Schizosaccharomyces pombe: one gene and its partner. The protein of the gene in region 1 interacts with the protein of each later gene in a pairwise test. Each region holds a gene or a part of one and is shown in the gene's direction. Other genes may lie near its edges.

Evidence for each region.
Region 2: the proteins of SPOM_SPCC576.02 (region 1) and ceo5 interact in a two-hybrid assay, tested with the Schizosaccharomyces pombe proteins (one large-scale study listed by BioGRID).

The regions. Positions count from the first base shown.
Region 1 is NC_003421.2:2,079,867-2,083,624, forward strand, and holds the start of SPOM_SPCC576.02 (hydantoin racemase family protein), read left to right. Parts: upstream 1-1,840; 5' UTR 1,841-2,003; intron 2,004-2,045; 5' UTR 2,046-2,780; coding exon 2,781-3,491; 3' UTR 3,492-3,758. Other genes in the region: alpha-ketoglutarate-dependent xanthine dioxygenase Xan1, read right to left, coding at 1-796; SPOM_SPCC576.19C (uncharacterized protein), read right to left, coding at 1,381-1,740.
Region 2 is NC_003424.3:4,873,231-4,876,988, forward strand, and holds the start of ceo5 (TTC27 family TPR repeat-containing protein), read left to right. Parts: upstream 1-2,156; 5' UTR 2,157-2,344; coding exon 2,345-3,758. Other genes in the region: glutaredoxin Grx1, read left to right, coding at 1,039-1,059, 1,154-1,206, 1,375-1,472, 1,596-1,729.

The DNA.
Region 1 (3,758 bases):
CTTTATTGATTGTAACGTAGGCATGAGGGAAATATTGAACGCGAGTACGAGCAGCCACCTTCTTTTCCTCGTCAGTGAGCAATTCGTACATGCGATAGCCTGAGGCGAAAGCTGTCGAACCTAATGGAACAGGCATCTCATGGCCAGACTTATCATCATATCGAAGAGTTTGGGTGCCTTGTGGAGCATTAACGGCGAGAAGGGTAGTGACTACAGGAGGGTTATAGTCATAAAGGGCAGCATCGATATGCCAACGATAAAAACGGGTGACTTGTTTTTCTTTTTCTTCCTCCTCAGAAATGGGATCACGATGGAAAGTTCGATGATGAGGATGTTTAAGTCGGACCTCTTCAAGACCGTAATGATCCTTCACAACACCATGACCAATGAGTTGTACTTGAGGAACACCGGGAAGGGTGTGCAAATCGGGATGTAAGATGCTGTTGTTTTGCTGATTTGTACGATTGCCGTGACCATAGGTAGAAGACTCGGGATCAAAGCGATGGGTGATAGCGTACTGAGTCTCTGGGGGTAAATTGTGTTGATTGGGGAAACAAACCACTTGATGTTCGAAAAGAGCCTTACGGATATCTTCGAATTGTTCATCCGAGAGGTTATTCAAGTCAACATTTTCGATCAAAGCACCAAATCCAACATCAGTATTGTGTTCCGGCAATGGAACAGGGGAAACACGAAGACCTTGAGAAGTGGTATAAGCAGTAAATGGTGGCTCGGTAGCACCAGTCAAAGTGGTGGTAGGAGGTTCCACAACCGTAGTAGTAGCAGTGGCAGACATGATTGAACGAAGAATTTAAAGAAAAGTTGGTAAGAAACAAGATGGGTTCTCTTACGAAACGAGTAATAAAGGAGGATTGAAAAAAAAATATGAGAAAAAAGGTATTCTTGATAACCTTAAAAACGTTTAAACTAGTAGAGTTCAACTTTGGACAAGTAGAGGAGCAAAAGTCGAAAATTCACAACAATCGTTTCGTTTATTGATAACAATGGCGTAGAGTGGTTTTCGAATGTTTGTTTCTTTTCGAAAATCTATAACAATGGATTATAGCAACACACGATGGGTATTGGCTGTTCAAAACGAAATTAAACTAAGATTTGAAAGGAAATTTACACAAGTCAATAATGCACAATGCTATCGGAGCAAGTAAACAAGCTGGGACAGCGAGAAAAGTTACGAATATTTAGTTGTTTTTACGGAGAGTAGCAGTAATTGAAGACTTTACGTAGATGTTGTATCACCCAGGTATTATTATGAACTTCAATTCAAATCAATTGTAGCAGAAGCACAAGACGAACAATGGTCAGTGTGATTCTCTTCAGTGAGTTTTTCTTTTGATTTGATGAGACAACATGGTATTCACATCAACCTTTTATACCATGGAACCTCCAATCCTCATTACTCCTGGGCCATGTAATTTTGCTCATTATCACTTCTACCGCATACCTCTCTATCAACATAGATAAGATTGCTGAAATTACATTGAGTAGGAAATGTACGCTAAGTGAGTTTGCCGATGCTCTAAATTCGAGTGAGCGGCATGGCAAAAACAAGCATTTGCCAACCTTCGGTATATCGGACTGAGCACCACTGAGTAAGACTGAGCTGCTACGAAACGGAGAATACATGTTGTTAAACAATTCTAATGAAATGTAAAGAAACCATCGATTTGGCGTCTGCACATCAAGTCTTGTTTGGTAAAGGTCATTGGAAGAAGTAGGCATCGATAGGGGGAATACCCAAGTCGCACCCGTCCGTCTAGGTGATGACTTAAATTGAGGTTTGAGGGGAATTCATTAAGACAATCGGCGGAAATTTCTTGACCAGAAGACTAAGCACCGATGTTCTGGAGTGCGATTTTTAGTGGGACAGGGTGCGAGTTGGAACGGGCTTCGGACTCGAGTTTGCAAGTGTAGAACGAGTGGGAAAGAATCGGTAAAAGAGTAAAGTGGGAGATAGTGCATATAGAAGATTTAACGTTTTGCAGGTAAATGAGAATATTTCAATTACATAATCCTAACAGCGCTAGTAGTAAGTCTGGTGGTTAGTGGTGCTTGTGCTTTGCTTGACCAACATTCCAAAGGCAGCTCAAGTATAGCATAGCAATCCAACATTGTCCTACAAACTTTTCAATCACCTATACTATCAGTACCATCGTTGCTGCTACTCACTGACGCTGTTTACTAGTCATCAGTCTCATCTCCTCTTCGGGTCCGACTGTGTTCATTATCAGAGTGCACATTGAACAACTTGGAAACGGAGTTTCCAAGTTTACTCAAACAACCCCTTACACTTGATTTGCGTCTTATCAATTCTGTAGACAATTTCAATTGCAGTCTACAGCAGCTTGAAACAGCATTTTTAGTCATCAACCTTGAAATAGATTGTCTAGTCGAGTCTAGTCTACTAAGAGTAAATAAGCAAAAACCAAACAAACGATCAAATCTATTTTAGTCATTACTTGTTAAAAATATTTTTCGTTTTTCAAGCCATTTTGTTGGAAACTCGATTTTCTACACTTTATAATAAATTGTGACACTGGTTTTTCAATTTTAGTTTTTGACAAACAGTTTAGAAAAAAGGTTTATTTTCCAATAAACTGTATTATTTTTTGTGTCTCTGTAAATTCAGCTTCAACATTCTCTTTTACTTTTTTTTTTTCTACTATTTCCCCTTTGCTTGCTCTTTTTCTTACTATTTTCTCTTCGCTTTCTCTTCTCTACCTTCTTTCTCTTCGTCTCTTACCTTTCTATTTTCTCTCATCATGCCTACCATTCTCGTCATCAATCCAAACTCTTCCACCTTCATCACAACATCCATGGAAGAAAAACTCGTTCCCCTAGTGCCTTCAGATGTAAAGTTGCGCTTTCTAACTTGTCCTCAACCCGGTGCTGCTGTCATCGACTCCATCACAGAGGCAACCTTGACAGCTGCTCTAGTCTTCCAAGCCCTAACTCCTAGTGTCTTGGATGGTGTCGATGCTATAGCTGTTGCCTGTTATTCCCCCACTCCTCTAGTCGACATGATTCGTGAGTCATTTGCTTTACCCTGCATGGGCATTGTGCAAGCGTCTGTCCTCAGTGCCTTATCGGTTGGTCAGCGCATCGGCATCCTTACAAGTACATATCGTTCCGAATGTTTGCTTTACGAATTACTCGATTCTTTTGGTGTTTCGCGCACTCGAGTGGCCGCCATTGCTTCTACAGGTCGCACAGTTTTGCAACTTTCGCAAATGCCTTCACAAGAGCGTGAAACCCTTCTTGTCCAAAAGGCCCAAGAACTGGCAAACACAAAGGGTGCAGATGTCATTTGTTTAGGTGGTGCTGCTTTAGCAGCTATTCGTGATCAGATTCAGGTTGCCGTAGGTCCCAATATTCCCATCATTGATGGTGTACATGCGGCTGTTGAGTTACTTGCTGGCCTAGCTCGTCAAAATCTTCATACATCAAAGTTTGGCATCTATACGTATCCATAAAGAGATGTCCATATGTTTTTAGATCTAGCAAACCAGTTTGATGCTGCTATATCACATACACACACATAATAATGTGTACGACAAAGGTTGATATTCCTGGATACGTATACATTTTCTCTTGATTTATATCAATAATTACATACCTATCTATAACGTGATAATTACAACCATTACCTCTTGATACATTCTTTTCTGTCATTGTTTACAAAGCGTATTGACACATTGGTTTCATAAGAATAACTTTTCACTGTATGCCCAGTGTGTTGG
Region 2 (3,758 bases), on another chromosome or scaffold:
CCCTAACGATCTTAAATGATAAGCAACGTGTTTGAATCACAACCTTTCATTTTTTAATATAAAAGGAAGTATCTGATAAAATCTTTAAGGATATGCTTGTATAATGCTGAGACGTTCTTAGAGTCATTATTCAAAAATATCTACTTAATTGCGTATATTAAAGTTAGCAGATGAAACATCGAATCATGTATTTAAAATGCTAATTGATTTACAGCTCTATTTTCCAGAATTTTTTTCTAAAAAGGAAAATAGTAAATCATTAGTTTATCTAATTAGCTAAATTGTTGACGTTCATGTCAATGGGTAGGCAACATAGCTTAAGTTGATCAAGAGCAAATGTTTTTGAGCAAGGTAATATCATTGCTTTATTAGAAGCTTAAAAATGGTTTAGCGTAACAAATCGACACAGAAAACTAAAATAGATAATAAAAAGATTTTAAGCAGGGTTTTTCGATGAAGGTATATTTGGTCTCAATTCACAATTTTTATTTCAATTGATTGACTGTTATTACTTAACAGATAACGAAAATTCAAGTTAAACATACGCAATTATAAAAATAGGTTAGCCTTTTTTTTTCTATGCACTTTAAATCCGTTAATTAATTAATTGTTGTAGCCAGAGCTCATAAGATTTGTAAATAAATGAAATCTATTCGAAATCGCAATCATTTAGTCTTATTATTCATAACAATGCAAAGCACGCTAAGTCGCTAGAATAAACAAGTCATACAGAACAGAAAACATCCAACTAGTACAATTCTCTGCACGAAATCATTATAGGCGGTTTTAAAAAAAAAATAATAAAAATCATAAAATTCATTATATTCCCTGCCATATGCTAGTCTTTCGGTTATTGAACCGTTTACTAACGTATAAGTCTACTAGACTTTTCTAACGTTAGGGATACGTGCTCCACTGACGTATGAATTAGCAATATGGAAAACCATGCACATATATATAATACACAACTGATAATACATATCTGCCTACCACATACCACCAAATTTAAAGGTTTTTGTTTGTTACGTTATTAGAACCATGTCTAGTGTTGAATCATTTGTACGTATCCGTTTGGCTAGAATCAGAGATTAACCACAATGTCGCTGAATTTTGGTAAAATGTTCTTTTACAGGGTACTAACATTTCTGTATAGGTTGACTCTGCCGTTGCTGACAACGATGTTGTTGTTTTTGCCAAGTCTTACTGGTACGTTTGCTTAGTAAAGTAATCGTTGCATAAGGGCGTGTATTTGTCACACTGGCTTACCATAGTTTGAACGCTTGTATTTTTGTTTTAACAAATTACACTTCCATATGCCTAGAACCGACTACTTAATTTTTTTTGTTAAGCAGTGATATTAACTCTTAATTTTAGCCCTTACTGCCATGCTACTGAAAAGGTGATCGCTGATAAGAAAATTAAGGCTCAGGTATACCAGATTGACCTTATGAACAACGGTGATGAGATTCAATGTAAGTTTTTATTGCATCTGTTGTTTTGCTTGATGCTAGTTTAGATCTGTCTATAATATAATAGACCTTGAGTCTGTATAAAATGGATGGTATAAAAAAAAGCATACTAACCTCCTTGATTAGCTTACTTATTGAAGAAGACCGGTCAACGTACCGTACCCAATATCTTTATTCACCAAAAGCATGTTGGTGGTAACTCGGATTTCCAAGCATTATTCAAGAAGGGCGAGCTCGACTCTCTTTTTAATACTGCCTAATGAAATTCTATGAGCAATAAATTTTTTTCTTTAAATTACATATCTCAAACTGAAGAAACCTGTATTATAAAGCTCTTAAATCTAAATCTGTGGTATTTTAAAGCTAATGATAGAACTTAGATGCAGCTGTTTTTCCTAGCTACTAACTACAACATAGCACATAAATTTTGCTTTTATTTTGAGTAATAAATCACTCGAGAAATACTGCTCTTTTCGATTACTTTATTAAGTAACTCATCTGTGCACAATTTGTACTAGCTGATTTAAATTTTTGAAAATTTAATTATTGAACTGGTAAAACAAAATCAAGGAATATTAATGCCATTTTTATCCTTTATCATTAGACCTCTGTAAATTCGAAGAGTTTCTGAACCTATTCTTGAAAATTGGGTTTTATAAATTTCTGGGTACATTAGTCAGAGTTCCCAACTCCAATCTTCAATTCCTGTAGTAGCAAACTAAAAAATAGCTATTTTCCTTACTCACTACTGAATTGAATTGATTTCCTTTTTGTTTTAAATACAGAAATTCCACTATTAGACGGGATAAATGCTTAATAGGTTGATTGTCTGAAAATATATTTGTTGAATCAAAAATTTTCAGTTTTGCCAAACAATGGTAGCAATAGAAAATAAAGAGGTCCTTTTTGGAGGTTCTCTAAAAAGCACAGAAGAATATGATCAGTTTTTCTGTCCTAGTATTGACATTCCTAAATTTTTGTTCAAATATTGGGATTCAAAGCCGCTAGGGAAAAATGTCAGCAGTGATCAATTCGCTGAGACTGCAATACAGATGTTGGAATATTTTATTCAGAATAATTATACTGGACCATATCTTCCCATTAAGCCTGAAATATGGCTTCCACAGCGTTTACGCGACGAGGCTACATTAAAGGATGCCATTATAAAAAGTTTAACTGTGGAAGGAGAAAGGCCTTATCGACTTGCACCAAAACTTTTATTTCTTTTACTTTCGCAGACTTTATTTAACTACGCAAATAGCAAAGATCCTTTGCACATATGGTATAAAGCTCGCCTTGATTTTTTGCACCAACAAATGCTTAAAGAGCACGTTTCAGAGTTGTTTAATCAAATAATGGAAGGCATGCATATCGTGAGTAGTCATGTTTCTTCACTAGATCGAGATTTACAAGGGCGGTTTACTATGGAAATGGGCCTCATACAATCTTATTACGGTCGTGATACTTTAGCTCTGCAGTTGATGAAGGAATCAGCAAAAGTAATGGACTTTCATTTTGAATTAACTGGTGCTCTTGGTCGACGCACAAAATTCCAAACGTTTGATACTTCGCAGCTAGTTGTTTTAGCAAAGTCTAGAGACCGATGCAAAGATACCGAGCAGAACAAATCAACTAGCACTCAACCGATAACATTTGAGTTAAATGATGATACTCTTTTGGAGAAAATCTCCTTTAAAGAAGATCAAAAATCATTGGCTCCTTCTGAAGAACTTGATCCGATTTTGTCATCCGAAGATCCCAATCATCCCTCGAAACTTGATCCATTGGACGCATCTCTATTACTTGCATTTTGCCATATCATAAAGAATAACAATCCTGATGATGGACTTACGCGTGAAGAAATGGCGCCTTACGCAGAGCGCGTTTTGGTTTATCCTGTTAATTGGTCTGTCTATACAATGGCTTTGCTTGTACGTGCTCGTCTCGAGGGGTTTAAAAGTCGAACTGTTGAACGTAGTGTTCTTCAAATGCAAGCATTGTTAGATCAACTTAACGATCAATTGAGTTTTGGTAAATCACCTGAAGGTGTAGATAAACCAGAGAACGATGAAGGTTTGGGATCTTTCCTTCCAAAACCGCAAGATGGAGAAAACTCTGCCTCGTTGAAAGAACGTCTCAATTACTTTTATAATTTGCTGATGCCATCTAGATGGCAGTTAGAAGCTGAATTGGCTGAAAGGTTCATCTCTGTTGGTGCCACCAAATCAGCCCTCGAAATTTTTGAACGTTTACAAATGTGGGATTGTGTTGTGATGTGCCATTGTTCAC